Rhinolophus ferrumequinum: one gene and its partners. The protein of the gene in region 4 purifies or fractionates together with the protein of the main gene of each other region. This does not show direct contact. Links are inferred from orthologs where the notes say so. Each region holds a gene or a part of one and is shown on either strand. Other genes may lie near its edges. The genes, in order: SNRPD3, ARGLU1, CDC5L and SNRNP70.

Evidence for each region.
Region 1: the proteins of SNRNP70 (region 4) and SNRPD3 purify together in Homo sapiens (affinity purification with mass spectrometry; 6 studies listed by BioGRID and IntAct, counting the BioPlex papers as one, with this or other methods). This does not show direct contact. The link is inferred for Rhinolophus ferrumequinum from reciprocal best matches to the Homo sapiens genes SNRNP70 and SNRPD3.
Region 2: the proteins of SNRNP70 (region 4) and ARGLU1 purify together in Homo sapiens (affinity purification with mass spectrometry; 3 studies listed by BioGRID and IntAct, with this or other methods). This does not show direct contact. The link is inferred for Rhinolophus ferrumequinum from reciprocal best matches to the Homo sapiens genes SNRNP70 and ARGLU1.
Region 3: the proteins of SNRNP70 (region 4) and CDC5L purify together in Homo sapiens (affinity purification with mass spectrometry; 3 studies listed by BioGRID and IntAct, counting the BioPlex papers as one, with this or other methods). This does not show direct contact. The link is inferred for Rhinolophus ferrumequinum from reciprocal best matches to the Homo sapiens genes SNRNP70 and CDC5L.

The regions. Positions count from the first base shown.
Region 1 is NC_046308.1:22,250,823-22,258,367, forward strand, and holds the start of SNRPD3 (small nuclear ribonucleoprotein Sm D3), read left to right. Parts: upstream 1-4,433; 5' UTR 4,434-5,054; intron 5,055-6,434; 5' UTR 6,435-6,452; coding exon 6,453-6,578; intron 6,579-7,545. Other genes in the region: protein GUCD1, read right to left, coding at 3,889-3,931. UniProt on the Homo sapiens protein: Plays a role in pre-mRNA splicing as a core component of the spliceosomal U1, U2, U4 and U5 small nuclear ribonucleoproteins (snRNPs), the building blocks of the spliceosome.
Region 2 is NC_046287.1:50,686,335-50,693,992, forward strand, and holds the start of ARGLU1 (arginine and glutamate-rich protein 1), read right to left. Parts: upstream 3,561-7,658; 5' UTR 3,317-3,560; coding exon 2,970-3,316; intron 1-2,969. UniProt on the Homo sapiens protein: Dual function regulator of gene expression; regulator of transcription and modulator of alternative splicing. General coactivator of nuclear receptor-induced gene expression, including genes activated by the glucocorticoid receptor NR3C1.
Region 3 is NC_046286.1:13,593,154-13,601,194, forward strand, and holds the start of CDC5L (cell division cycle 5-like protein), read left to right. Parts: upstream 1-4,898; 5' UTR 4,899-5,017; coding exon 5,018-5,062; intron 5,063-7,349; coding exon 7,350-7,453; intron 7,454-8,041.
Region 4 is NC_046298.1:44,386,630-44,394,734, reverse strand, and holds the start of SNRNP70 (U1 small nuclear ribonucleoprotein 70 kDa), read right to left. Parts: upstream 3,322-8,105; 5' UTR 3,075-3,321; intron 2,328-3,074; 5' UTR 2,318-2,327; coding exon 2,171-2,317; intron 768-2,170; coding exon 705-767; intron 599-704; coding exon 544-598; intron 1-543. UniProt on the Homo sapiens protein: Component of the spliceosomal U1 snRNP, which is essential for recognition of the pre-mRNA 5' splice-site and the subsequent assembly of the spliceosome. SNRNP70 binds to the loop I region of U1-snRNA.

The DNA of each region.
Region 1 (7,545 bases), on a different chromosome or scaffold from region 4:
CAGCTGTGGGCTGAGCAACTGACTTCCTCTTACTGGACTGAGTCTGGCCATCTCTAAAGTTGGGGACTTTGGTCTGATTCAGTCATTCAATCAACAAATATTTTCCAAGGGCCTAGCAAGTGCCTGGCATGTTTACGAGAGATACAGCAGTGAGTGACAGGTCCCTGTCCTGGCAAACACTGAAAACAAGCAAGTTTAAGAGAAAAACCGGGGGCTTAGGCTAGGGGAAACGGTGGGGGTGTGCCTTAGAGAGGCAAGAGGTAGAGAGCGCAAGGCAGAGGGAGAACAGCGTGCACTGAGGGCCTGAGGCAGGGGCGAGCTGGCGGCGCCGGCAGGACCCTCCCACTCTGCCCTTCCATGAATCTGGACAAAGTTCAGAGTCTAAAGGACCAGGAGGAACTTCCCTTCAGTAGTCACCACCACTCACTGCTCGCTCATGACACCCATTCAGGACATGAAAAGCCTGCCCACATTGTTTCCTCACCTCAGGTCTCTGGGGCCTTTCTTGAACCCAAGACCAGCCGGTGCAGAGCCGTCCCGGGAGCCTGCCTGCCCCCCACTGCATGCCCCCAGCATGAGGGCCACGCATTAGCCCTGGAGGCCATCCTCGCCTTCCGACCTACTGGCCTCGTCTGGGCAGTGCCTTCTTAAAAGGAGTCCCGTGCTCCTACTCTCCTGTGTCTAAATCCGCCCCCGCCCTCACGGCCTGGCACAGATGCCACCACTTCGGGGCCATCTCTGAAAAAGCCACGCCCTTTCCTTCATCGGCACTCCGCCAGGCCTGAGTTCACACTTTGCCTCCCAGAGGGGACCCTGGCACCGAGCTTGTCTGTGCCCTTCTGGGCCGTTGTACATTCCTAAGAGGCAGTGACCTGTGGCGGCTCCTTTGCTGCATGGTACTGGTCTCTCTCTCCAGACTCCTCACCCTCAAGGGCACGCAGCAGCGTGGGAGGCAGGATGGCATGGGCGAGGGCAGGCCACCCACTGGCTGAGTCACCTGAGAGGCACCTGACTTCCCTGAGCCTGCTTCCGCCTTTATGAAATGCACCATCACAGACACCAGCCAGCAAGGTGGTGGGAGCGCTCAGGGCAAGGAGGTGTGTAGAGCCCTTTGTGGGTGCTGATGTGAACCCTGCCTCCATCCAGCTGGGAGGGGGCCCGGCACACTGAGTCCAGGCCTGGCTGAGGCTTTGTTCCCTCCTTCCCCCGACCCCAGGTGCCTTTAAAAGGAACCCAGGCACTTCATTCAAGGCCTTCACACATTCTCCTCCTCCCATTGCCATGGATTCAGTGCTGAGGGCTTACTCCCGCCTGACCTTTGCCTGTCTTCTCCAAATTCCACCTCAGCTCCTCTGCCATCTCTGTACACAGAAGCCAGAGGGATGCCATCCATAGCGTCCCACTGCTCTTAGGATAAAGTTCTCACAATTTACCATAGCCTGCAGGCCCTGCCCAAGCAGGACCTACCAGCCTCATCTTTGCCTTTACCCCTCATTTACCCTGTTCCTGTTACTCTGGGCACCCATCGAGCTTCATTCCACTCCAGGGCCTTTGCACATACAGCTCTCTCTACCTGGAACTCTCTTTCCCTTGCTGTTCTTAAGGCTTCCCCTGATGGTCATTTCGGTCTCAGCTCAAAGTCTCCTCTTCAGAAATGCTTTTTCTGGCTACATCTTCAGAGTGAGGGAGCCCGCCGTCACAGCATGCTGTTTGTTTCCCTCACAGTACTTAGCAAAAGTCAGTCAGTCGATCAGGCTCTTCTGTCTCCCCACTAGCCTGGAAGCTTCCTGAGGGCAGAGAATTTGCTAATCTCGTTCACTGGTATTCCCAGTGCCTGGTGTCTGATGCTTAGTAGTAATTCAACATTTGTTGGAAGAAATGAACTTGTTGAGCACCCACCGTGTGTTAGGATCTGGGGACACTGTGTGACTAAGATCCAAACCCTGCCCTCCAGGGATTCATACTCTAAAATAATTCCCCCCAATGGGCTGAGTGGAGGAGAGCTCTATGCAGGGTATTGTCCCCCCATGGTGGGGTGCCTCCCTTTTCAAGAATTCCCTGTGGACATAAACGGCCTTTGTGTTTTTCTCTACACAGGCTGTTTATTCCCCAGCCTTTCCTCTTATATATCCCTTAATTTGGAACGTTGTCTCCCATCTCTAAACGTCCGAATGCTCTGGTCCCTTTCCTTCTCTGAGACCCTCAATATGGATTATTTGAGGTGGTGTCCGTATTCCCCAGTGGACAAATGGAGAATTCTTCAGGGGTAGGTGGGGACAAGGTGGCATTTACCTCCTCCTAGCCCTCAGCCCAGAGCAGGCACCCAGACATGCTTGGTGACTGGAACATGCTTTTCCCCAAAGGCCTTATCCCTTGAGATGCCAGGGGCCTACCTGTCACCGCAATGCCCAGCACTCCCACCCCCAGGCTTCCAGACTACAGCCTGTTCATGGCTCCCTCCTTACTCTGTACCGCAGGCTCTGGTATGGACTAGCTGGGCTTTGAGTCTGTCTGTACTTTCTCCTATGCCCAGCTGTAAATGTGGCACAGGGCAGTTGCTCTGAGCTCTGCTGCCCCTTTTCTTCTTGCCCTGATCCTTTAAACTCCTTGATCCTGAGGTCCCGAAGAGCTGAACATCCCCTTGTGGCCGCCCCCAGTCTTGGCACCAGCAGGTCTGCCCATAGGGACCCACAGACACTCCTGTGGGGAATGATAAGAGTAGGCGAGGTCTTCCAAGCCCAAAGCTGCTACAAGATGTTGATGCCTGAAGCAAAGGGACTGTCCCACGTGAGAACTAGGGTCTGCCTAGAAGGCCCTGGCTGGCTTCAGTTGGCAGCTGTCACCAAGGAAGGAACGCAGCTCACTGGCCCTGAGTACTTAACCCCTCTCAGCCTCAGTCAGCTCATCCATAAAAGTGAAAATCACAAGGCAGCCTTCTTCATGGGGTGGTGATGAGGATTAACGAGGCACTGCATGTAAAACACAGCACAGTGCCTGCTAGAGAAAGCTCTCTGTGAAGGTGAGCCATTACTCCACTGACACTGAGGCTCAGGAAAAGCAAGCGCCTGGTCCGACATCACAGAGTTGGAGTAGGATGCAAATCCCAGGGTAGCATTAGACGGTACTCCTTGCTGCAAACGCAAGAGACCACTTCCTCGGGTGACACTGTGGTTCCACTGAGGCGTTAGTGTCAGGTTCCCACGCGCTCGCTCTTGTCCTCTCCCATGAGTTGGCAACTCACTTCAGAGTTTACTACGGTAGTACTACCACTACCACTGTCTCGTTCTCATCAACCCTGTGCCTTAAGCAGAGAAGAAATCACTCCTTTCCCCCTCCCCCACCTAGAGAAGCAAACTGAAGACCGTGACACTGAATGTCAGTCTTGGTTTCCACCCCAAAGGAACTCAGGCCACCTCGGCGCAGAAGGAACCAGAGGGTGAAGAACTGTACAGGACAAAACGCTGAGTCCGGGAGGCCAGGTAAGGGCCCTCCCATTGCTCTGTGCTCTCAGCAGTTCCTTGCGCTTCTAGGCCTTGGTTTCCCCAGGGGTCAGGATCTCCCAAGGCGACTCCAGCAGGACTTTTTGCTTCTGGGGAAGGTGGCGCCCCAGCCTCACACGCTGGGACCCTCCCCACCATGACCGCTACCAGAGCTGACTGGGGTCTCAGCCCTGGGAGTATCAGGAAACCCCAACTGACAGGGGCTGGAGGGTAGGGAACCAAGGCGGCTGCGTACACCTGGCCAAGTTTCGCTGGAAGCTCTATAGCCTCGCCGGAGGCGGCGGTCGGCCCAAGGTCGCGCGCGCGGCCGGACCCTGCCCCGCGCTGTGGAGGGGTGGGAGTACCCCTCGTTCCCGAGTGAGGGCTGGGCCCTCAGGGAGGCACTAACCGGGCTCGAGCGGCGACCCCGCTGCCTCCGCCTCCGTCCTCATGACCCGGGCGGCGCGGGGCGCCCATGGCCCCGGCCTGGCGCCGGCTGTAGCTTCGGCTGGGGCGGGAGTGGGACCGGAACGTGTAAGGCTCCTCCACCGCCACCTCCACCGCCAGCGCGGTGGGGAGAAGAAGAGGCGGTGGCAGAGCCTCCCCAAGCCCCGCCCCGGCCCCTCCAGGCCTCAGATCCTGGGACCCCGCCCCTTCCATAAGCTCCTCCCCTTCCCTGGGCCTCCAAAGAGGCCACCCCTTTCCCATCCCTCGTCCTATTACTAGAGGCCCCCCGCCTCCTGATCTAAGCCCGCCCGGGCCAGTCGCAGCCTTGGCTTTTGGTGACCCCGCCCCTTTCCCAGTTCTCGCGCAGACGCACAGGCCCTTCTCCGCCTCCGTTCCCGGGGAGCCCCGCCCCTCTCTGAGCCCCGCCCCGAAACCCTGTAGTCCAGCGAACATTGGCTCCCCAGAGGCTCTTCCCCTTAGCAAGCTCCACCTCTACTCACACCCGCTTCTTTGTCAGCCTCAGGTCCAAGGCCTGGTCCTGTGGCATAAATCGTTGGGCTTCGGGAGACCTAACCCTACTCCGAATCCCTGGGCCGGCACCCCCTCTTCTCTATACCTCAGTTTCCCTATCCGTATGGTGAAATTCGTCGCCTTGCTCAGGTCGCACTTACCTGGCAGTGCCGGGTTCCAAAGGTTAAATTGTGAGGGGAGATCCTAGCCTTCGGCCCTACCGCCTGCTGCCCCCGATCCGACGGCCCAGACCCTAGATCTCCGCCCTTGGATCCAGCCCGTCCCTGGTGGGGGGTGCTTGGAACCGCGAGTTCCCCTCTTCCCTTGACGGGCTGAAGGTCGGTATTTCGGGTGGCACCTGGGCCCCATCATCAACCCTCTTTTCTGGGGCCGGAACGATCGTACCAGAGCCCACGTTTCCTAGCCGGCGGGGTGAGGAGGAGGCGGAGGCGAGATCGCTCTCACCACTAGGAAAAGGAAGGGGTCGGGTTCTGCGCGCGGCATTTTGGGAACGCATGGTATTCTGGGAGAGCGGAATCCGCCATTCGCTCGCCTCACGCCGTCGGAGTCGCCTGAGACACCGCAGCCGCGCGGGAAAGGAAGAGGAGACCGGAACCGGTGAGGAAAGGCCAGGGGCAGGCGAGGGTAGGCCGAGACACCCGTGAGGGGCCGGGGGCTGGAGGACGCACAGCCATGGAGCTCTGCGTGGCTCGGGGAGGGAGAAGAGCGGGAAGCCTGGGCCACCCAAACATCAGCGTCGCCTCACTAGCGCCTGGAAGTGAGTTTATTAGCTTTTCCCCAAAGTACATGCTCTTCATTTTCTATACCTCTCCAGGTCTGTTTTTCGAAGTGTGCAGGCAATAGTCTTGAAATCATTTCTGACTGATTGCCTCCATCCTCCATTCAGGCGCTGGTGCCCCGTGCTTTCCACACTGGTACAGAAGTTTTATCACGTTCCCCTGCTTCTTAACTGTGTTTGATCCATTTTATAAGTGCTGCTACCTTTTTGTTGGATTATTCCTTACATATAATCTTGCAGTGGTCCTTCGCTGTTTTCAGCCTAAAATCCACACTCCTAAGGCTCCTCTCCAAGGGAGCCGGCGTGTTTTTCCCAACCTCGTGTTCCTTTTCCTTTCTTGAACACACATGGTGCTTTCCAGCCTTTAGTCGTTGTTCATTTTGGAGTTAAAAAACCCTTCACTTGTCTCGTTCAATTAGGTCAAGCCAGGCGCTTGCCCTGATTGTTTCTCTTCCAATAAAAGCATTTCCTGCTTCTAGCACATTGTCACTCTGTGAACACTTTGATATTTTCTCTTTAGCCTTGATGGTGAAGTGGAGGGTCAAAGGGCATAGAATGGGTTAAATTAAATACACAACCTCTTCCAGATTTGCCTGCATCCTTTGGTCTATATGAGCAGTGCTTAGTAATACTGTATATATGTATGCCCAACACTAGCCACATGTGGCCATTGAGCACTTGAAATGTTGCTAATATGACTGAGGGACTGAGTTTTTTAAATTTTATTTCATTTTAATTAAGTTTAATTTAAATGGCTACATGTGGACAGTGATTGCTGTCTTGGACAGCTCGGGTTTATATCATGGGTTCTCAAAATGGTGTCACCTACAGCTCTGGGTTGACAAATACATTGTAAGGTAATGCATGCCACCCCCCTTGCCCCCAAACACACAGAATTGATTGATGGTTATTTGGTGAAGATAAAGGGACATAGGATAGCAGGGAGGAAGATGGAAGGTACTTTTCATTCCCATTAGATTTCCCTCTACCCGGGCTTCCATTCCTCCCCACCCCACATGTTCCATGTATTTTTTCAGATAGGTACCTCAAGCTAGATGTTAAGCTTTTTTTGTAGAAAATGCAGCTGAGACATCTTTGCTAAGTTTTATGGAGTGTCAGGCCTTAAGGGAGGCATGGTATGTGCCACATGCCTTCTCAGGCCCTGAAAGATGAACTAACTGTTGTCTCTCCCACTGTAGAACTCTCTTCCTGCCAAGATGTCTATTGGTGTGCCGATTAAAGTTCTACATGAGGCGGAGGGTCACATTGTGACGTGTGAGACAAACACTGGTGAGGTGTACCGTGGGAAGCTCATTGAGGCGGAAGACAACATGAACTGCCAGGTATCCTGCTTTGTACATGAGACTGGAGAAAGCTTGTGTCTCTGTCTTGCGGGACAGAAAGATGGTGACTGGAGGTCTTTTTGAAGTTCTCATTGAACAGTTCCTTACTGAGTGCCTAATGTGTGCCAGAGACTGGTATAGGTGCGGGCATATGGGCATGAATAAGAGCCATTCAGAAGTTTGGAATATTTAACTTTGTCCTTTGTCCCATATTTGGGGGACTGTTTAAGAGAAGTGGCACTGCTCCCTTTGTTGGAATCCTTCAGGTTCAGACCATTATCCATTTGCCCCCACATATTTGCATAATGCTTTGCAGTTAGCAAAATCTTACACTCACATAATGTGCTTATTTGCCAGTTTTCTTGAGGGGAAGAATTTCATTTGATTATAGCAACTACCTTTCGAGGTAAATGGGTTTGGTGGGAGTTTTGTCATCCATAAAATAGGGAGAATAAGATTAAAGGACTCATCTAGTGAATGTCACCCTGCTAATAAATGTTGGAGCAGCTTCCTGATGTGGTGTTCTTCCCGTGGCACTACTTTGCTTTTAATAATCACAAGAATCTGTATAACATTACAAAGTGTATCCGCACACTTTCTCCTTTGTTCTTTAAACCATCAGTTAAGAGCTTGGGCTTTGGAATCATGTTGGTTTGAATCCTGATTATACGACCATAGCCATGTTAATCACCTCAGTTTCCTCATCAGTAAAATGGGAATAGTGTTACTTTGGGTCCTCTGTGATGTAGATGCCAAAACTGAGGAGAGTAGCATGGGGCAGAAATGGCCTGGCTCTAGTACCCCCGCTGTGGCCAGTCATTGGCTGGCAGCCTGCGGAGAGAGTGGCCTCGGGGTGTATGTATGCTGTAGTGGATACCAAAGGTGGCAGCTGGAGCTTGTCAGCTCCCTGCATTCCTCACAGCCTGTTGTCCCTTGAAGGGAAACCTCAGCAGAGCTGCAAAGATTG
Region 2 (7,658 bases), on a different chromosome or scaffold from region 4:
GGACCTCTTGAAGGTACACTTGACAATAGGCATTCTTCTGGTACCTTTTCTCTGCTTCTACCATGTGCTGGTCTTCCTCCATCCAATTGTGAATAGGAACATTCCCTAAGGTTCTTTCAGTCCCTGGAACCAACTGCTCTTCTCTACCCACTCTCCCTGGGTCATTCTGTCTACTCTCAAGGTTTGCCCCAGGCTTGTCCCCCATACCAACCTTAGGTAAACTCCAAAAAATTAGTGTTCACAGTGGAAATTCCCTTTGAATTTCCCCTCTCCCCTATCCACTGGGTTTCTGACATTTTAACCAGTGTCTGACACATAGTAGTTACTTAAACATTTGATGGCTGAGATGTAATAGCCACAATATAAAAACATGAGAGCTAATATTAATGCTTTTTGTCCCTTGTTTCACATCCAATTTTATTTGTTCTAAACGGTTTGTACATCTTTTCCTCTTTTCCATTCTAACTACTGCTCCCACATTACTCCTGTATAGACTTAATGTAAATGTAACGAGTTCTATCCTTATACAGAGGGTAAGTTAAAAAAAAAAAAAAGCTCCCACATTTACCTGCTTAAATTAAAGCCTTTCCTGTTTTTAGGATGAAATCCAAGCTCCTTAATATGGCATACAACATCTTCCCATGATTCCCAGCCTCTATTTTACGTCCCTAATAACTCCGTGACATTAATGCTTGTAGTACTTCCTATTTCAATAACATTCATCTTTTTACCATTCTGCCCCTCCTCCCTTTATTCAGGCAGGGGTAGAGGGGACTCTCCTTTGGTCCACATACGAATATATATCCTCCTATGCCTAAGTTGGACAGTCTCTTCTTTTATCTGTGACCCACTTAAGAGAACAGGTATTTTACCCATCCAAGATGCTTCCTTTCTACTCACATCACCGTCACTGAATCACACTGGAATTAGTACTTACCTACCTATCTGTATCTATCTTCAAGCTAGATCAAGATCTTGGAGAGGGTTCCAATCATCTTTCTATTAACAGCACCTAGCACAGCGCCTGGCACATTAAATGCTCAATAAATATTAGGTGAATGAACTAACCAACAGGGATTTGCAGACATATGACTTCTTCCAATTCTCATGGCTCATGGCTCCAAAACCTAGGTCTTTCCATTGTTTCCTTTGCATTATTTCTAAGGCATTAGACCCACATTAAATAGTGCCTGCTGCAGAGCATACAGAAATTCAATGTACAGGTAGGTGGCTGTTAGCTCTGCCCCCTCCCTCCTTGGTAAGTACTAATGGTAGTTTGCCTTTTCTATCACTTGGAACTACGTAGCTGCTCTATTCTCTCATTTTCATCCCTGGATTTCTTCTCTGCTCTCAATGTGCAGCTTGCTAAATGGCTCTAATTATTCTCCACATACCACATTTCCTTTCACTTTTCCTACAAGGCTTAGCTTTCTAGTGAATGGCAAATCATCACTCTTTGGAGGGCTCCTTTGTTTTCACATGGAAAAATTATCTCAGAGATATCTTATTTTTTTTTTAAATGTCCATCTGTTGGTAGTTATTTGAGAGCAACATCTTTTAAGTTAATCTTATTCCAGACCAAAACAACTGGATTCTATGTAATAATGGTTTGTTGTGAAACTACTTGTACTTCGTGTGTGTGTGTGTGTGTAATTGACATTTCTAAGGAAAGATGCAAGTGTTGTGCATGTTTTAAAGGGATGCAGCAAAACACCTCTCCAGGTATTGCTTCCACTATAACATTTATTAGTTAGTGCTCCTGTCTCCTACCTCTTAATAACTTTGCTCTTAGAAACAAACTGCTGGAAAGCCTACAGAGTACAAACCTAACTGCAGAAAAAATTTACACCCCTAGATAATTCAGTACACATATATTTATCTCAGGAAAATTCTAAATTCAGTTTTTCCAGCCTCATGAGCAATTTCTAAACATGCAATGAAGAACTGAGGAAGATAGTGGTTAAATAGGGGAAGTGCACACGTTTGTCTAACCCTATCTTTCAATAGGTCTGTGAGGAAGGAATATTCAGAGCAGAGTACCATAGTCTTAAACCAAACACTACATTTTAAACTCAAAAGTTCATTAGTTTGGAATTATTTACACCTACTTTTGAGAGGTGGCTCTTTCCAGAAATACATTTTACCCAAACAGTATGTCAAACTGGGAACCTGTGACTCTGATTTTCCTTACATAGAAGTCTGCATGTAAAAAACACAAAAATAAAAGCGAATGTTCAAGTGTCTAAGTATACAAGGGGGAACGAGTATCAGGATTGCACCGAAGTTTGCTACAGAAGACTATAATCAATATTAATTAAAAGTAAAATGAGTAGGCTTTGGGATGGTGGTTAGCAAGGTGAATTCAAGCGTCAAAACTCATCGTACTGTACACTTAAGGTTTGTGCATTTCGTTTTTACGCCTCTAAAAACAAAACAAAACTGAGGAGACCCGAGAAAACTGACCGAGACATAATTTTAACAGGAATACATTAAAATGCATTTTTGGGTATATACTGTCGGAGCACCTCAAGTGCCTTATTCCTGAGAAGCCCAGTCCCCAATTCAAGCCGCAACACAAGAACACTCTGGCCAGCTGCGATTTGCATCCCACCGCTTAATTCCTTTCTGCTCTTCTCCAGCGGGCCTGCAAACACTCTCCAGACACGTCTTCAGACTGGCTAATTCTTCGCCCCTTGGCCGACGCAGCTCTCCAACCCACTCCGAACTCCACCCCCTACTTCCGGCACTCTCCTCCCCTCTCGCGCCAAAATCGCTTTCTCCCCGCTAAACCTTTCCAGCTCAAGCTCCACGATTTCCCTTCCCAACCAACTCGTGGGTCTGTCCTGCCCGAGGCTTTCCACACACCCGTGCCGCAGCCTCTCGCGCGGGTTCCCGCGTCCCCATTCCCCTCTCTCCCCGCCCCCCCCAGCTTGCCTCCCGGCCCCCGCCCCTCCCCCGCGGGCGCTCACATTTTTCGCTGCCGCTCGAACTCCGCTTTCTTCTCCTCCTCCTCTCGCTTCTGCTTCTCGTCCAGGCTGCTGCGCTTGCTCACCGTGCGCCCGAAGATGTCGATGCGGTCCGGCGGGGACGAGGCGCGCTCCCGGTCCCGCTCGCGCCGGGATACGGCCGTGTTAGTGGAACGCGAGCGGGACCGCGACTCCCGCCGCCGGTTCCGTTTACTTTCCCGGGATTTGGAGCGCTTCCGCACGCGCTCCTTGTCCCGGGAACGCGACCGGGACCGGCTCCGCTTCTTGTTGTGTTTGCTGCTCTTGGTGTGTTTGGAGCGGGACGAGCTCCGGCTCCGAGACCGGCCCATCCTTCCGGGGGACGCTGTGACTAACCGCTGGCCTCGGGCCCCGCACGCGCCTGGCTGCTCTCGCCTCCACCTCCAGACGCAGGCTGCCCGTCCTGTTGAAGCTGGGGGCAGGAAAACTGTCAGCCAGCTGATTTTCTGTCACTCTCTGAGGTAGACCGCCGCCACGAAGGCCACCTCCGACGAGCAGGCCGCAACACCAGGAGTTGCTAAGATGGCAGCCGGGGCTGCACCGGCCGCCCTTCCCACAATGCCACGCGCGGAACGCGCCGTCGCGCGAGCCCCGCCCCCGACGATCCTTGCCGAAGGCGAGGCGAGCGCTTCCGAACGCGGTCGGCTCCTTCCGCCAGTCTCCGCGCCAGCCTGCGGCGTGGGAGCTGGAGTCCCTCGTTTCTGCTTTAGTGCATTTTGCTTTCTGGTAGGATGTTTGGTGCGAACGAAGTCTTGCCTCGTCACGAACTGACTGCTTCATTTTCTAGGAGCTGCTTTTGTCAGGCAGACTTAAATTATGTCAGAGTGACCCTGACCAGATCACTTGCCTCTCTGCTTAGCTTGCTCATTTGTGCAATGGAGATAACCACATTTTATGAGGTGGTTGTGAAGCTTACAAGAGATAAAGTAGGCTTTGATAAGTGGAAGCCAATGCTTAACGTAGGGCTTCATGTGCCAGGCGTTGTTTTAAGTGCATTGCATTTATTAACTGGCGTTTTAATTCTCATTTTAGTGATGGGGACGCTAAGGTCAGAGGGTAAAGAAGTTGCGCGGTCACACAGCTAGCAGGTGGCAGAGCAGAAGTGTGTATGTTGCAAAGCCCCTGCACATAACTGATAAGCCCAACAAATCTTAGCCAGGACAGCTGTGACCCTATATGGTACAACAAACTATTGCTGTCAAGCCCCCAAAATAAAAGACGGCATTACTATTCATAGATGATAGGAAACCTTGAAAATCTAGGTGCCTCAATCTTAAAACTGAGTTCAGTAAAAGGCTGGAATGATGCCCAGCTAATGTTAAAGACAGTTATTTCCAGTTAGTTGGTATATGGTTTCCTGGAACACCACAAACTGGTGGTATACAGTAACAGGAACTTCCTCACTTAACAGTTCTGGAGTCCAGAAGTCCAAAATAAAAGATGTCAGCAAGGTTGGTTCTTTAGGAGTCTCTGAGGGAGAATCTGTTCCATGCATCTCTTAACTTCTGGTGGTTGCTGGCAATCCTTGGCATTCCTCGACGTCCCCTGGTTTCCAATCTAGTCTCTGTATTCCCATGGCAGTTACTGTGTCTGTCCTTTTTGTGTAGTGATTCTGATGATTAAATTAGGACCCACCCTCATCATTTTGACCTCATCTTTCTTAATTACATCTGCAAAGACCTTATTTCCAAATAAAGTTACATGTCCGAGTCACATGAATTTTGGGGGGGATACTGTTTAATCAACTACAGTTGAATCTTTTTAAAACCTTTTTTTTCTTAGTATTTTTCTGCATGTCGTTAATTCTTTATAATAAGTATGTGGTATTTTACAAAACTAATAAAGGGATTTTTTGCATCATAACAGGAACAAAAACTAAGATGGTTAGAAGTCTAAATATATTCAGATGCTTAAAATATCATTAAAAAATATAATCATTTAGGAAATTAGAATAAGTGACTATGAAGCAATGGCTCTGCCAGAGATTCTCATATAGTGCTTGGGGCCCAGAACCTCCATTTCTAATAAGTACCCCACATGATTCTCTTGTATGCATTTCACCAACCATAGTTTGAGAAACACTGGTATAAATAAATAAGTTAATATGTTTATCTATGTAAATAAAAGACAATTTTGAGAGAAAATACTTGGCAATATTTAGCAAAAAGGCATTGATATCGTTAGTATATAAAAAGTTCCTAATAACCAATAAGAGAAATAGAAACAACTCAACAGAAAAATGAGCAAAGGGTATAAATAAGCCATTCACAGAAAAAAAATACAACTGATTAAAAAAACCTGTTAAAAGAATCTAAATCTCACTAATAACCAGGTAAATGCAAATTTAAATAGCAATTATTTGTGTGTGTTTTCCTGTAATTGACAATTACTTTAAAAATTATAAATAAAGTGTTAGTAAGGTGAAGAAGAGAGGTGTTGATGACAAACACCCATATATACTGTTAATAGTTTATTACAACCTTTTTAGGGTGTAATTTGAACATGTCTATCAACATTTTAACTTTTTATAACCCTTGACCCATCATTCTCACTTCCAAGACTTTGTCCCACAGATAAAACACCACAATACTTATGATATAACAATACAAGGTGTGATAAAAAAAAATACGATGAATGCTCCTGCCGAGTGCCATCCAACTTTCAGAAAGGCAGGAATCTTCAATATGGGAAGTGGCGTGTCAAACCTTAGTAACAGTTTGTGACAAGTTCAACTTGTTCGGTGCAGTCAGTTGGGTATGAGCTAAGGTTGAGAGAAGGTGAGTTTTAAAGTGTGCCATAAATCATCCTCCATCATGACAATGCTCCGTGTCACACATTGCTTCTGGTATATGGCAATTTCTGTCAAATAAAAACATTTCGGTGTGTCCTCATCCACCTTGTACACCGGATCTGGCACCATGCGACTTCTGGCTCTTCCCCAAAGTCAAAATGACCCTGAAAGGTAAATGTTTTGAATCGATTCAGGACATCGAGGCATCCACGACAGTGCAACTAAAGACACGAAAGAGGACTTCCAGAACTGCTTCAGAAAGTGGCAAGAATGATGGGATAAGCGTGTTTGAAGCAAGGGGGAGTATTTTGAGGGGGATTAATGGCAATGTGTCTTTTACCATAATAATCTTCTTTTAATTTAAACATTCGCCATACTTTTTGTACATACCTCGTATATAAGACTATTTATCTCAGCATTGGTTGAATGGCAGATAATTGAAAACAATCTAAATGTTAATGGTCCAGCAATACAGATCTATATGGACTGATGTGCAAAGATGTCCTCAGTATAATTATGGCTAGTAGGTGAAAAAGGAAAGTTGTAGAATTGTAGATCGCAATCTCATTTTTGTTTCCAAAAGCATATTTGTGTGTTTATATTTATCTATGTGAATGATAGCTACACATTACATAGAAAGATCTAGAATTGGAGGAATGAACTGGGAAGCTTAGCCTAAAGTTGCTTACAAAGCAAATAATCTTTTTATTTGAATTCTATGTATACTGGGGTTGGCTCTAAGATAACTTACAGAACTTTTAAAAGAGGATGCTATTTATCCACCTCAAGCCATGTCTTCTTGCTCACCCTAAAAAAAAAACACACAGACAAACAAACAAAAAAAACCTGGAAAACAAAGGTGCATCAAAATCCAAGGCCCCGAATTAGGAGGGATTACCTCTGAGGATGCAGTAAAGGAATAAGGGACACAAACATTCCGTGCCTCCACTTTATAATTATCAAAATCTCGGCATTCCACACTCCCTGAATTTGTCTTTTTTTTTTTCAAATGAATTTACTTGTGTATTGATTATCTTCTGCCACTGGAATCCAGTTCTAGAGATCTTGGTGGTTTTGTGTTCATTGAAACTACTGGGTTGGCATGCTAACCTCGATAAACGTACACTGACTGAATAAGATTTGAGTGGCTTTTATTTTGAGTATGAGTTTGGTTTTATTTCTGTTGTTTTGTTTTTAGACGGTTTAAATTTCCTGTTGCCTCCTCTTTTCCATTCTCTTCTCCCATTAAGTGTTTCCTCAGTTCATCTCTGAATAATTACAATAGCCAAATGTAAATAACATATCATTCAAAAACAGATCATTCTAAAGAACAATCTTCTAATGTAAAAAATACCCAGGAGATGGAATATCTTTCCTACTTATTCTTAAATTACCAATCCTCAACCAACTTTTCAGAATTTGAGATGTATCCTGTAACATGTTGATGAAGCATCATTTATTTGGGTCATAAATACTAAGTGCCTATTTTGTGCAAATACTGCGCTAGTTGCTCATAGATTTATACCTACGCTTAACATATAGGTGGAGCCCGTGGGCACCAGGTTCCAATCTCCCCATAGCTCATTTATCAACCAATCAGTCTTTCTTGTTTCTTAGAAAATCATCTCCCTAACCCTTTCCTGAGCTAAACCCCATTCATCGCCATCCTTCCCTACCCCATTCAAGTCCTTGCCCCTCAGCAAGTTAGTTCTCATTGGCAGCACTTTTTGCATTTGTGATTTTTAAAGAAATGTTAGTTATTTAATATTCATCACTCGTGAAAAGGTGAACTTCTTGAGGGGTGGGGAGAGGAGTGCCCATGTCTGATTTGTTCATTTCTGTTTTTCTGTCTTGGGCCTAGT
Region 3 (8,041 bases), on a different chromosome or scaffold from region 4:
TTTGCAGGTTTACCAGAAACAATCTGTATATGACATTTACAAGTAAATTAATTCATTAGCATATCAAGTTACATTGCACATAAGGTATTCTAATTTCAGATCCTGGGAAAATTGAAAAATAGCCTCTGTGGACTAGAGGGAAAATTATGTTATACAGCTAGTGGCACTGAAGTCCAAATAAACCTAATGAAGCGAATTCAAATACTGTTTATATAGTCTCTGCACTCAAAGTTATCAAAATATTAAGATATTAGGGCATTAAACTTAAAATCCCACAAATGATTTAGGAATAGTCTGTATGATTCCATTGTCCTATATTTCCGGTGTGAGGTATTCAGTTGGTTAGACTGTTTGCTTTTGCTCTTAGGCATTTGGACCTCAAAAGGTAGGTAGGTAAAAGCCTTGTTTACAGGATTTGACTCGGTGAAGTATTTTAGAGTTGGAACTCTTCAAGATCATGACACTGGCCCAAAGAGGCTTTTCTTTCCTGGCTGGAAAATCAGGAGAGCGTGATATCTCAGCAATGTGCCAACTATGGTATGGTGCACCTTTTAGGGGGGCTGCTGGCCAAGTTCCCAGTGGGCTTTGGGAAAGGATATGGGAACCGGTTTGAGATGCCTGGTTCCTTTCAATGCTGGGAAACGCAAGGAGGGGTTATAGCCTGAGCCCACCCTGGAGCGTGTGGCAGCCACTGCTGAATTGAGGAGCCAGCATCGAAGCTTCCAAACCTGGGCTTTGTGAGAAACACGTACATGCCAAGTGAACACTTCTTGTTCATGAAGGAACCCAGCCTCAGATCAAATAAGAAGCCTAATATCCCGGGGACTTGTTTTCTGAGGAACTATGGCTGCCTCTCCAAATATGGAGAGGGTGTGGGGGGCCGCTTCTGGTGGTGATGGGGGTGAGCCTGGGTGTGATCATCTGGCTAGAAATGTGTTCTTTTGGTCGGGTGCAGTGTGGGCTGGAGTAAAAATTGGGGTTCCCTTAGAAAGGGAGGACAGAATGGATGCATGAGGCGTAACTATACTAAAATTATTTGTTGTTTACCTGAAATTCAAATGTAAGTGGGAGTTCGATATTTTTATTTGCTAAATCTGGCAACTTACAGCAGAGGTGGCACAAAGGAGAGGGATTTGAGGGCTACGTAGGAGGCAAGAGGTAAAAGTGGCAAGACTCTACATGGGATGGCTTGGATATGGGTGGAGGAAGGTATGGGAGGAGGAAAAGTGGCAGCAAGATGGATGTTGGTGCTGTCGACAGGGTAACATGTAGAGTCTACCCCTGTGGTATCTTTATACACTTCGAGAAAGATGTCCTCTTGGTGAACACAGTCCCACAATGTACCACTTGAGCAGTGTGCAAACTGGATTTCAGCTCCATTTGTCCCTTGTGCAGTGAACTACTTAAACCCCCGTACACGGCAGCTGGCAGCCTTCTGCTATTCACTGAAATAAGGAATCCCGTGGAGAAGTATAGATTTTCTGGGGGAAGTTCAATTTTGGGAAGTTGAAATTGAGGAGCCTGTGACTCACACAGGAAGAACCGTCCAGAATTTTGTTGGGCATTTAAGTCTGGGGTCTGGTATATGCATGTGAAAAAAAAAAAGTCTCTTGTGAGAAATGTAAATCCCAAGTCTGTGCCATGTGGATGCAGGGTCTAAATATAAATTACCCGACTGGAATATTAATCCTAAAATGAGAAATGAGCTCAAAAAGACCCTTGAACCTCTGGGGCCTGAGAAAAAAAATAAATTCTCTTTGGGAACACTTCCCCACCTGAGGGCACAGGGGACTCCCTAGAAATAACACTCATGAAGATGAGCTTCTGAGAAAAAAATTACAAACTACAGCTGGACCTACCACAGGGAAGTCTCAGTAGGTGAACCTCAAGCCAATTAGTATGATTAACCATGGTTAGCAATACAATGTGAATTACCAGCATTTAGGGTGCATGGGATTCCATTTTGTAATAACTTGACACCCAGACATTAATTTTTTCCAACACTAGCTGAGGAATTTCTAAATGGGAGGGAGGGGCTTAGGGATGGCAGTCTGGTAGATGGGGTAGGGCTAGAAGACTGTTTTGAAACTGTGTTTGCAAAGCAGCACAGTGTTTCTAGTTAAATTCCACCTGTTTATTTGGGGAGATGACGAAGATTATGGGAGTGGCTAATCCCAGCCCCTAACCATGCCTTGTTATCATAGGCTTTTGACCCTTTTTTTTTTAGCCCTTTTCTGGACAGTTTCTTGATGCAAAAAACAGGATGAAACAGAAACTAGAATTTTGATTGTTTTCTCTAATAAGCAAAGTTAGCCCAGTCAGAACCAGCTTCCCAAAAAGGGATGTGGGGTGGGGGATAATGCAACCTACAAAACCCTCCTGCTAACATCTCTTGTTACCTCTTTGTAAGCTGGATGGACCTCCAACCTCTTTCCCCTGGGCCAGAATTTCCCAAATTGTGTTTCCTGCATGTCAATAGCTACTATAAGAAAAAAGTTTTCCAGGGTCAAATTCGTTTGGAAAAGCCATATTAAAAAGGGAGGGTAGTGGTTTCCTAGGGCTGCCATAACAAAGTACCACAAACTGGGTGGCTTAAAATGAGAAATTTATTCTCTCACACACTATTTTGGAGGCTGGAAGTCTGAAATCAAGGTGTCAGTCAGGTTGGTTCCTTCTTGGGGGCTCAGAGGGAGAATATATTCCATGCCTCTCTCTTAAGCTTCTGGTGTTGCTGGCAATCCTTGGTGTTCCTTGGCTTGTAGATTCATCACTCCAACCTCTGCCTCCTTTACAAACTGTTTTCCCTGTGTGTCCACATCGCTTCTTTTTATAAGGACACCAGTGATTGGATTAGGGCCCACCTTACTTCAGTATGACTTCATCCTTAGCTTGATTACATCAGTAAAGACTCTATTTCCAAATATGGTCATACATATAGGTACCAGGGATTAGGACTTTGCACATATCTGTTTGGGGGATATAATTCAACCCACAATAGGGAGAAAACGATTTCTTCATCTTATAACTTCTTACAGGCTTTAATTTTGGTGACTCTGTGAAAGGGAGCTGACAGAGCGTACTGCTTTTTTCAAATTCAAGTAATTGTGAAAAATTTGTTTATTTTAATGGAGTATCCCAGTGTTCTGAGGAATATATTTGGGTGAGTGAGGAAGAAGTGGAGGCTCTTTCTCATTAAGCCTCTGTTTAGGAATGACCACTCCCTTTCCTAAAGGTTCACAATGACAGAAGGTACAGTTTGATTTACTGATGGTGACTGTTCCTCATGGCTGCCTTGTAAAAGATTTTTGGCAGCCCCTGGGGTGAGCTGGCCTCTTTGTGGGGGCCCTGAGGTCTGGCTGGGGAGGCTGGGGTGACATGGTGGGTTGGACTGGCCAATCCAGGCCATGCTGGAGGACAGCCTCTGGTGTTCATGGCTATGGGGCGCTGGTTTGAGACATCCCAGAACTGGTACGATGTTGCATTTTCTGAATGCTAACATGGAACATGCAACTTGCATGTTCAGGGAGGCCTTGGGGGATATCTGACAGGGTTGCTCTGTCTGAATGGGCAGGTTGTATAACGCATGCCCCTAGGGGAACCGATTCACATTGTAGATATGGTAGATCTAATTTTCTTATAGTTAAGAATGTCCTGTTCTCAAAACATTAGTATTTTGCGACGGTTTTCCAACAGATGTCAATAAAGTGCCTTGAAGAAAGGGCACCTTTTTCTAGTTGGTATAAAGTTGGTATAAATGGGGTAGAGGCGGTCCTGAGGGGGAAGGAAACACCATCATCATGGTGTTTGATCTGAAATGCTAGATCTGAAATGGCTCTCGAGAGGACTAGATTTGTTAGGAATCGTGCTTACAAATAATAGAAACCCAACTTCAACAGGCTAAAGCCCAAATGGGAACTATTCATTAGAACTCAAAACAGGGATGCATTTAGGACTGTTTTGAGGAACATACTGCATCTAGGGTCTTCTGTGTAGCCAGGACCTACCTGTCTCTCTACACTCCTGTCTTGCTCCTCTTAATGCATCTGGCACCTGCTTTTCCCCCATTTTAGTCTACATCGTACAAAACATGGTGGCTGACAACTCCTGGGTGTCACATATTAAGAGATTCATCAAACCAGCAGAGAGACTGGCCTCTTCTAGGTTCCAGTGTCAAAATTCCTGGGGAGAAGACTTAATTGGCTCAGCTTTGATCAGATAAATCAAACAGCCAGTATGTGCATGCGTGTGTGTGACACTGTAAGCACAGCAACTGAGATGATGTTGGGTGTGGAGAGGGCAGGAGGTAATGATCACACATCCTACAGAGGGTTTCTGGGACAACCACTGATCACGTGGGGTTGCCCTTCTTGTAATGATATGACATTTTGAGTAGTTACCATGTATCAGATACTGTGCTAGGTTTATGATCTCATTTAATCCCTAGGACAACCTTATGAGGTTGGTACTATTATTATCTCTACAGGTTAGGAAATTTCGGCTTAAATAAGCTCTTGCCTTTTCCTGAGTACTCCGTGCATAAATTCCTATGAGTTAAACGCCTAATAAAGTGATAAATTAATAATTTAAAAAGCTCTTTTCCGATCAACTGGGCTGAAACTCCACACGCATGATGTGCCCACTCTCCTCCACTAGGTGACGTCACGGCCAATCCCACCACCACGTTCCTTCTCGCGAAGATCGTGCTTTTCCTCCACCCTTCTTTGGCCGTGCGCGCCGCCTAGTGCGCTTTGGCCAGAGTGGATCGACGGTTTTCTGTTGGTCTTCCTATATTAGAATTTTAACAAGGCACTTTATTTTCCTTGCAGCCACCCGAATTCTCGCGATACTTGCAACTCTGCTTTCCCCCCCCCCCGCCCCGCCTTGCGCCTGCGCAGATCTTTACAAAGGAGAAGGTCGCGCCTGGAGGAAGTGGTGCCTTTGGGTCCCGTGGCCGCAGCGCCGTTACTACTTTTCTGAAGCTCCTCTCGGCCGCTTGCCGAGACACCCCACCGCCAAGATGCCGCGAATTATGATTAAGGGGGGCGTATGGAGGAATACCGAGGTAAGTCTCCTTTTCCCGCCGTCCGCTGCCCTTCGCCCCCTCCGGCAGCTTGTGCGCACGCGCGCGGAGGTGGGCGAGGAGGGGAGGATGCCCTGCGGGGTCTGCGTGGGGGAGGCGCGGGCTGGACCCTCCGGCCTTTCGTTCCCGACCCTGCGTTATCCGAGCACTTCAAGGACGGGGACCGTGATTTAACCACCTGACTACCTGCCAGGCACTTGTTAGGCCCCCCAGTGAACACCTCTTGAATTGAGGACGCGCCCCTCTCGCTGGAGGAACTCAAGAGTATGGAGGGGAAGAAGGGACATCAGCGAGAGTCGGTCTCCTGGGCACTTCCGTGCCTGAGCCCGGACACCGCGCCTCTCTTTGATACTCACAAATAAAGAAGTGCTGTGGCCACAACTTTGTTTCTTCATCGACTTCCTTGCAAAGGGAAATAAGCTTGAGTGCCAGGTTCGAAGAGCCCGTTTATGCCCGCATACCGCTGGTTATCTGTTATCGAGGCATAACTTGCCTGCCCTCCCCACAGGTCCCAAGGCCTGTCTCTTCCTGTCACTCTTCCTCACCCTGGATAGAAGCCAGATGGGATCAACTGACTTCAGTAGTTTCTTTGCTTCCAGAAATGTAGTGGATAGTGCCAGGGGTGAGCCAAAGAGCAGCAGAGACGGAGTAAAATAGAGATAAGGTGTTAGCCCAGTTTGTGTTCCTGAGTGCACCGAATTTGTCAGTTTCTGGAGCACATCGTATCTTTTCATGATCTGTGTCTTTTTATATCTTGTGCTTTCTTTAAATATCCTCCTACTACTTGGCATCTTCCGCCATCCTTCAAAACCTCTTCTTGGAAGTTTTGCCCATTCAGCCTGTAAACATTAGTCGCACCCCAGTGGTCCCATGGCTCTTCTCTCATCCATTTGTTATAGCTTGCTTTGTCCTTTTGCAGGCATCACATCCTTCTAGGTAATGCTGCGTACGTTTTTTTAACTTATCACAACCTCAGTTTTCTCATCTTTCTTATGGGGATCATAATAGCTGTCTCTTGAGGTAGATTAAATGAGTCTATGTATTTGGATCATTTAGAACAGAATCTGGCACATAGTGGTCTTTCCGTAAGTGCTACTTGCTATTTCTTTCCCCCAGCAGACAGCACTGGAAGAGAACCAGATCCCTAGAACCTAGGACAGTAACCAACAGGAAGTAGGTTGCTTGGCAAATGTTAGCAGAATGAATCTAATAGGGTAGATAACTTAGGTGAAGATGTGTTTAACTAGAGCAGTACTGCAACAAAGTTACAAGTAAAGTCAGTGATAACCTTGCATCATTGTACAGAGGGAACCAAGCCATTTAAACTGGAGAAGAGGTGACTTCTGGGGGAGAAACAGATGTACAAAATCAAGTAACAGCAGGACTCCCCTCCAGTGGCTGAAGCCCTGCAGTCTTTTTTAATCTCTGAGGATGGGAAAGTGGAGTGGGGTGGAAGAGCTCATGTGTGAGGCATATAGCTCAAGTTCAATGTGGGAAAAACCCTAAAAGCAAAATGCCCCCAAGTGCGTTCGTCTATGGCTCTGTTATCCCTGTTGTCTTTGGCTTAGCTTGCTGGGCTCCTCTGGGATTGGTTAATTCCATATTGGAATGGGTGCCACGGTGAAATAGTGTCTAGATACTTGGGGAGGTTGGAGGCGGGGGAGAAATTCTTAATTATTAGGTTTGACCTGGGATGTGGATTCTTGGATCAGAGTGGGGGTTATGGAATTGGAGAGAAAATGCCGTTTGTAAACTGGAGGCAGGAAACCTAGATTGGAGAATGGAATCACTAGAGTCTTAACTTGCTACTTGAGGGTTGGATATGTCCAATTCAAAACCTGATATAAGGTAGGTGTTCAGGAAATGTTCTTTGAATGAATGAATGAATAAGTGAATGAGCTGTATAATTTTTGAGGAGAATGAGAGTCATACTTTGGAGAATACGTTTTGTTACCCTCTATCAAGTAGGGTTTCGTAGATTGGGCTTTACCCATCTCAGTTTATTGGGGGTGGAGGGAGAGGCTGTAAAGAAGGGTAGGGTGTCCTGAGAGATGTCTTCTTAGTTTCTTGCATTTTGCTGATTCTGGCTTGCTGTTTATTATGATAGTAAATGAGATTTTTGTACTTTTTTTTTTTTTTTAAAACCTAGGAGGTATGTGTGTCTTTCTCTTTCTTGCTTGCTACCCTGTCAGAGTTAATTTAAATTTTGTCTTTTCTCGCTTGGAGTTTTGTGATTAAATATGTTGTTTTTTTCTGACAATTCTTTAAGGATGAAATTCTGAAAGCAGCGGTAATGAAATATGGGAAAAACCAGTGGTCTAGGATTGCCTCACTGCTGCACAGAAAATCAGCAAAGCAGTGCAAAGCCAGATGGTATGTACCAGTTAATGAATGGAAAACAGAAAAACGACCTTAGTTAAAATGAGGAAAATGTCAGTTCTTTGAAGCTTATAAAAGAAAGCAGGCATTGTGATATAACAGAAAGGATGGAGTGGGAGATGGGGATTTAGATTTAAGACTTAGCTGTCACTTGCTTCCTATGTGATCTTAGGCAAGCTATTTTTCTGCCCTCTCTCCTGTGCCTGTTTTCTTCCAATTGGGTGATAATACATCTTGGCCTTAACTGCTGGAGATACGAGGCTCAAGTGAGTTAATGTGCTAAAGAGTACTTTGTGAAGCATAAAATAATTCTCCTTTTATTTAGAGATGGACTCCAGCTTATAAATCGTGTTCCCAAAGTTTTAAAAGTTGATTAGAACTTACTTTCCCAAAGAAATAAATGATAAATAATGGTTAATTTTCTAGGCTAGTTCACAGTAGTTTTCTCATAATACAGTTGAAATATTGTATATTTGCTCCCCCAAAGTATAACATAACCCAACACTGCACCTGGGGTGTCCTCTTTTAAGTCACAGAGTAGTGGACACACTAAACTTTCATAGGTGTTTGTGGCATGAGTGA
Region 4 (8,105 bases):
CTAAGTGTCCTGAGGAAATGTACCACTCCAGGGAGTAAGGTTCAGAGTGAAGTGATTCACCATAACCTCAGGGGTGTAGAAAGTAAACCCAAGTTTTTTAACTAGGAAGCCCTTGCTCTAACAACACAGGATCATTTAAGGTTGCAAAATCTGGTTAATTGCTATAAGTATGGGTCACTGCTCCCAATTCCTCCTGTGCCTGGAAGGAATGGAACAGTGAGCTAAGGTGGAGCCAGGACTGCCTCACTGCCGGGACCTCACTGCCTTAGCCTGTGAGACCCAGCTGGGCTGTGGCAGCCCCTCCAACCGCACGCCCCTGCAGTACGTAGCCCAAGTACCACCGCTCTCCCTTCCTGCCAATCCTAACTCCGCACTCTCCAGCTTAAATGCCTAAACCAAACAGAGCTTGGCAAACGGTGAGGGCTAAAAAGTGAACTGACCACCCCACTTTCCGAAAATAGGGAGGGACCTGGGGTTGACTTGGGGGAGAGAAACACAAGAGGGTTTGAAGAAGAAATCTGAGAGAATGAGAGAGAGACTTACACATTTTTAACTCTGTCTCCACTTCCTGCTGTCGCCGCTCAATCTTTTCCCGCCTCTGTCAGGAGATAGACAATTCAATGCAGATGGAAGTGCCCTGATGTCAAGGAACGTTCTTGAGAAGTGGCAAAAAAGACAGGGCCAGGAGGCAAAATATTACATACCTTTCTCTCCATGCGTTCCTCCCGAGTTTCTGCTCGTGTGGGAGGAGGGGCATCTCGAGGGTCCTGGGAACAAGAGGAGAGATGACATGGAGGGAGTGACTGGGGAAATGGCAAGGGACACCTACCCATCCAGGAAATAAGCATCTCAGCCATGTACCACTCCCATACACACACAAATAAGCAAACAAACAAGGACAGTTCCCAGGCCAGTGGAGGCGGGGGAGTGGTGAAGACCAAAGCACGGTCCATGGACCAATGCTATCAGCAAACTGTCACTGGTCTGCGACAAAAGTAGTACAGAAATCGGTAGTAAGTAGTATTCGGAAACTTCTACAGCAATGTGATGAGAGTTTTTATACCTGTAAAACTTGATAAAAATTTTATCTTCTATTTTGTAGTCTTTGAAAATGCTAGAAAAATGAAAATAATTCCTTTGTGTTTATCAAGAGCACCAATCTGCAATAGATTTGTCCTTTATCACAGATCAAATTCAGGACTAGGCCTGAAGTGAAAGGAGCCAACAGTGCAGTGCTCAAAAGCAGACAACTGGACACCCTCTGAGGGCCAACGCAGTTCCTGAAGGTCACCAACCACTCATTAAATAGTAACTGGCACATGGCTCATATCACCGAAGGGTGTCACTAGCCTGTAGCCATTAAATTAGTGTAACTGGCTACTAACATTACCTAAGTGCTGGTTCACTGAGGATGGCAAATCCTACTAGAGAGCCAATCTTCTATTATCTATGAACTTCTGCTATGCGACTTTCTTCACCTCCAGCTGCCCATTCCCCCTCAATGCCAGAACTTCCTTCTTCCGACTTCTGGCTGTGTGCCAGCATTTCTCAGGTGTGCTCTGATGCACCTTAAGAGGTGGATGTTGTTATCCCCCGTTTACGAATAAAAAAAACTGAGGCCCAGGAACCTAAGTCGTGTAGTCATGTTTATCCAGAGGGAGCCGAGCTGAAGTTCGGCAGTCCTGTGGCCTTAAGCGCCCTATCACACAGTGCTAACCGTTCATGAATGTCACCAAATTAATATCAGAAACATAACAATAACATCAATATTTGCTGACAGCCAAGCCCCATAACATATATCTTGCAGTTAAATACCCATCATGAGAAAAATAATATTATCCCCTTGCTAAGAATGAAAAAATCAATGCACTAAGAGGATACACCACTTGCCCAAGGTCACACAGCTGATAAATGGTGTGTGCGAGCCAAGGGATCACCTAACTCCAGAGTCTGAATCCTCAACTGCTAGTTAACTGAATTTTCACAAAAACCCAACAAGGGATCTATTATCAACTCCATTTACGACAGACAAACTAAGGATCATAAAGAATAAATCACGTGCCTAAGTCACACAGCTAGAAAACCGCCAGATACTGGAATCCCAAATCCAGAACAGCCTCCCCAAGACCCCCAGAACGCAAACCACTCCAAGTCTGCTCAGTGAACTCACCTCAAACTCTCGGATGTAGGGTGCAATGCCACAGTAAGGTTGATTGTGGTGTTTTTCATGTGGCAGTTTCTCCAGGGGTGGCAGGTATGGGATGGGGTCACGGGGCGCAAAGAGGGCCAGAAGGTTGGGCGGCAGGAACTGAGTCATCTTGCCAAGTCTGAGAACAGAAGCGAACCAGCCTTATGTTAGGATGGGCTGGTAGAGATGAGCTCCTATAATCCCTTATTCCCAAGAAAAGAGGGAAATGGGGTAAAGTCTTCGTATTAAAATAGGTTCTGTAAGGGCACGGCGTAATCCTACGTCACTAGGAAAAAAAGTAAATGTGAATGAGAAAGCAAGTTCTTGGAAGAGGGCTGTGTGTGGGTGGGGCAAGTCCCGTAAGGGAAACAAAGACTGAAAAAGGTTTCTAGGTAGTCTCAGCGTCCTGAGCCAGGAACTGTGGAGCTGAGAGGTCCCCTGGGGGATTATAGGAAAAACAAGGATCCTGACAGCGGTCCAGAGCAGTAGCGGCTGGTGGTCCCATACCTTGGAGAACAAGGCGAGGATCGCAGGAGGTCTCTGATCAACGGGAGAGGGTCATAATTAGCAAACCCCTAAAGCCAAGGGCTTGTGGGTAATAGATCTTGCCCCCCCCAAAGGCGAAAGGAATTATGGGTAAGGGTCCAGGACTCAGCGGCGACAGGAAAAAGGCAACGCATCGCAAGGGCCTGTGGGTAAGGGACCACGGGAGCGCTATGGGAGGAGGGCCTAAATGCCCAAGGTTCTAGCTAGGTAACGGGGTACAAAAAGGTGCTGTGGCGGTAGCGCGGGAAGTGGGCCCGGTTGAGGGAAAGAGACCGGGGCCCACCGCGGGGACTTGTGGGTAGCAGCCCCGCACCCGGTAAGGCCACTCAGTCACACTCACCCGCCGCGCGGCGCCCTCCTCGACCTGACGACGGTCCGAGGGCTCGCGGCGGCTGCGGCGGCCCCTCAGCAGAAGGGACTCCTGCTCTGGCTTGGACTCCAGCGGCGTCCGCGCTCTCCTGCCTCCGCCGCCAGCTCAGCGCGCGCACCAGGCCGCTGCTCAGGAGCCCGCGCGGCCTCGGTTGGCGACAGGGGCAAAAGGTGGAACCAGCCTCAAATCCCTCCGCCGCGCGCACTGCGCACGCGCCGCGCGAGACAAGCCCCTGCCCACACTCACGGACCGGTCGCAGCTGTGGGCACTGCGCACGCGCGAGATCACTGCCCCGCCTTCCGGCACCTTAAATTCTTGCCGCGGCCGGCTGGAGCTCGCAGTACGCACGCGCGCTTTTCACCAAGCATTGCGCCTCGGCCTCGCGCTCTGTACTCCAACTGCCTGTGTCCGCGAGACTTTACTCGGTACCCCGCCCCTTTCCCCAAACACACTTCCCCGAGTCTTGTGCGCATGCGTGAATCGTTATGTACCGTGTGTACCCTTCCGCTGCCTGGCAAAAAGTCCGCATGTGACTAGTATGATTACTTAGATGCCTAACCCTTAAAATCAATAATTGCTCACCGAGCGCCTAATGTATGCTAGGCATTGTTTGAACTTCGGGAATATAGCACGTGGCTAAAGCAAAGCCTTGTCCTCTTGGAGCTTACATTGTACTGGGGGAGACAATAAAGGCATTTAAAAGAGTAAATATAATTTCGGATAATGGCCTGCACAATAAAGAAAAATAGGGCAGTGTAAGTGGATGGGCAATGAGAGCAGGGCTATTTTAGAGAGGTTGTTAATGGAAGGCCCTTCTGACGAGATGACATTTGAACAAAGGCCCTGTGGAAGGGAGACCTGGGCGGGACTAACAGCAAGTGCAAAGGCCCTGATTTAAGGACAACTGGCAGAAATCCCACTTTGTGGACCTTGAGATCAGAGAGCTGGCAGCTGTGTTATTTAGGGCCCTGTATACCTGCAAAGAGTTCAATATTGTATTTTAAGGTTTTTTTTGAATAGATTCAATTGCCTGTTTAATGATAATTACAGAAAATTATTACAAAATTTAAGTGACCAATTTCATGTTTCAAGAAACGAGTAATATAAGAGCACATTCTTTCAAAAATATTTTGACATATTTGCTTTATGTATGTATGTGGGAACTCTGCACTATTTTTTGGAGCTTTACTGTAATTCTAAAATTATTTCAAAATAAAATTTAAAGAAAATAAACAAAGCTAAATGCCTTAATAATGTATTTTTTTTCTGTACCATTTGAAAGGAAATTGCTGAGGCACTTCACCTCTAAATGCTTCAGTATATGTCTTCTAAGAATATGGCCAATTCTCCTACATAACCACAAAATTACTTTCACCCCTAAGAAAGTTTTCCCAACTGACCCAAGAATATTTTGTTTTGATCCAAACCAGGAGCCAGTCAAGGTTCACACATTGCATTAGTTGTCATATCTCCTTGTTTTAATATAGAATAGATCCACACACGCACACACACTTTTTTCCCCATTATGTTGGTTTTTCCCAGAGGTCAGACTAGTTTCCAGTTAAATGTCCCATAATCTAGATTTGTCTGATTGTTTCCTTCTATTGTTTAGTTTGTTGCACGCCCCCGGCTTTGCCTATACAACGGACATTGAGTCTGAAGGTTTGAATAGACTGAAGCATTTTTGGCAAGAACATTTTCCTGGTGCTACTTCAGAAGTCATATTGTATCAGATCTGGAGGTTCATAATGTCAAATGGTTCCCCTATTAGGATGCTGAGTTTGGTCACCTCGTCAAGGATATAACTGCCAGATCTCTCTTTATAAAGGTACATTTTCCCTTTGGTAATCTGAGCAGTGAAGCTTTGCAAATATTCTGTTCCCCAACCATCTCTCACCTCACGATTGTAGCAACCATTGCTGATCCTTGCCTGAATCAAGTATTACATGGGGGAGAGGACAGATTATCGTTGAAATGAAATAGGAAGTAACTAAAGCGTTTTGATCACGAGGACGTAATCTAATATATATATATATATTTAAAGATCACTTTAATGCATTTTTAAAAATGCAGCGAAGGAGCTCAAACAGAAACAGGGAGATAGTTACCATGTTTCCCCGAAAAAAAGACCTAGTTGGACAATCAGCTCTAATGCATCTCCTGGAGCAAAAATTAATATAAGACCTGGTTTTGTATTATATTATATAAGACCCGGTCTTATGTTATAGTAAAATAAGACCGGGTCTTATATTAATGTTTGCTCCAAAAGACTCATTAGAGCTGATTGTCCGGCTAGGTCTTATTTTTGGGGAAACATGGTAGGAGGCTACAATTTCCAGGGAAGAGATGGTGACTTGGACCGAGACAGTAGCAGTGAGGTGGAAAGAAGTGGTGGGATTCGGGATATATTGTGAAAGTAGAGCTCACTTATTCAGTTGCTGTAAGAGTGGGAGTAGAGTGTATAGAAAAGAGAGAAGTCAAAACTAACTCCTAGAGAAAATTAAGGAGACAATCAAATGCAATGTGGAATCCTGGATTAGATTCTGAACCAGAAAAAGAACATCCATGGGAGAGGTGAAATTCGTCAGGTCTACAGTATTATTGGTTAATAGTATTATATCAATTTTAATTTCCTGACAAATAATTGTACTTGGTCATGTAAGAAGTTGACATTGGTGGAAGCTGGGTGAAGGATATATGGGAGCTCTGTACTATTTTTGTAACATTTCTATAAGTCTGAAATCATTTCAGAGTAACAAGTTTAAAGAACAATTTTAAGGGCCGGCCCGGTGGCTCAGGTGGTTGAAGTGCCGGGCTCCTAATGCCGAGGTTGCCAGTTCAATTCCCACATGGGCCAGTGAGCTGCGCCCTCTACAGCTAAGATTGTGAACAAGGCTCTCCCTGGAGCTGGGCTGCTACAGGCTGCAGTGTGCTGCTGGCTACTGACTGCCTCCCGGTGGCGGGGGAGGGAAGCGCAAGGCTTGTAATACCAGCATGTGCCAGAGAGCTGTGTCCTATACAACTAGACTGAGAAACAACGGCTTGAACCAAGTGTGGTGGGGCGGGGCGGGGGGGCAGGAGAAGGGGGAAAAAATGAAGCTAATCTCCCCTTAATAATAGTCCTTAATAATAGACTCACTCCTACATTTGTAGACTGAGCAATTTGGTAATTGATAGTGCTATTTCTCTAGAGATGAGGGAAGGCATAGGGAAGAGTGGGGTTATGGAGGAGGAGTTGTGGGCTTAGACATGTCAGAGAGGCCCATTTGACACTCATATGCAGTTGTGGAGTTGAAAGTTGGGACATACGGTAATTACAGAAGAGTCGGGGGCTGGAAAACCCAGATTTGGGGGTTATTGGAATAAAGATAGTATTTGAAGCCATGCGATCAATGAGCTCACCTAGGAGATGAGAGAAGATAGAGAAGGGGAGAAGTCTGAGCACCGAGTCCCAAGGCCCTCCACCATTTAGAGTTTAGATAAAGCAGGAAGAACCAGCAAAAGAGACTGAGTGGGAGTGATCACGAATTTTGGAGGAAAACTGGGGTAGTGAGGGGTCCAGGAAGCCAAGAAGGAAAATGCTTCAAGGAGGCAGTGTTCAGTGTGTCCAATGCAAAAGGTAAGGACTGAAGTTTGGCAACCATAGGTGACCTTGACAAGACAATGGGAGGGAGGTGAAGGGAAGACCTCAAGTAGGGAAAATTCTTCAGAGAAGTTTTGCTACAAAGAGAGCAGAGAGAGGTGATAAGAGCAGGAGAGGGAAGTAGAGTCAAGGAGGTTTTTTTTTAAGATAGAAAAGATATTAAGATAAAAAGTCTTATGATACATTTGTCTGCTGATGGCAAAAAAAGTTACTTATACACCTATCATGGCCACTCTTAACTACTTACTTATCTTATTCATGAGACCTGGAAACTTATGTCCACACAAAAACATGTACAAGGATTTTTACATCAGCTTTATTCATAATCACCAAAAATGAAATGTAACTTAAATGTCCTTCATAGAGTGAATGGATAAACAGATGGGTGTGTATCCATGCCTTAGAATACAACCGAGAGTTAAGAAAGTTAAGAAAGAAAGACCTACTGATACCACAGGAATGAATCTTCATTTTATTAAGTGAAAGAAGCCAGATTCAAAGGCTATCTACTGCATGGTTTCATTTATTTGACATTCTGGAAAAAACAAAACTACAGGGACAGAGGGAGAGAAAACAGAGCAGTAAGTAGTTTCCATGAGCAGGAAACCGGGGGTGGGGCGGGGTGCAGAGGAGAGCGGTTGACTGACTACAAAGGGAAGGAGGAAACTCTAGGAAAGGGGTGGGACTTTTCTATATTTTGATTCGAGTGGCAGTTACATGTCTGTATACATTTGCCAAGACTCATAGAAATGTACACTATAAAGGGTAAATTTTATTGTATGTAAATTAAACCTTGATAAACTTGACTGAGCACAAAACATGGCTCCCCTAAATAGTCATTAATTACAAGGGGAAAAATACAAACTTTACAATGGAGAAACCCAGCAGACACTACCCTAACCAAGTGATCAAAGTGAACATTACCAATGATAAGACATATCAATATTGTGCCCCCTATATGATGTGATGAGAGGGGAATTTTGTGTCTGTGGCATGCTCCCCCACAGAAAAAACCAACACTATAATCTCAATCTAATCACAGTAAAACACAAAATGAGAGACAGTCTCCAAAATAACTGACCAGTATTCTTCAAAAGCGTTGAGGTGATTAAAGACAAGGAAAAAGTAAGAAACGATCAGATTGCAGGTGACTAAGGAGACATGACAACTAAATGCAACATGGTATCCTGGATTGGATCGTACAATGGAGAAAGGACATTAGTGGGAAAACGGAGGCAATCTGAAAGTCACTTAGTCAATAGTATTGTACCAGTGTCAATTTCTTAGTTTTAATGCAGGTGGTATGGCAATGTAAGATGCCAACATTAGGGGACATTGGGCGTAGGATATTCACAAAT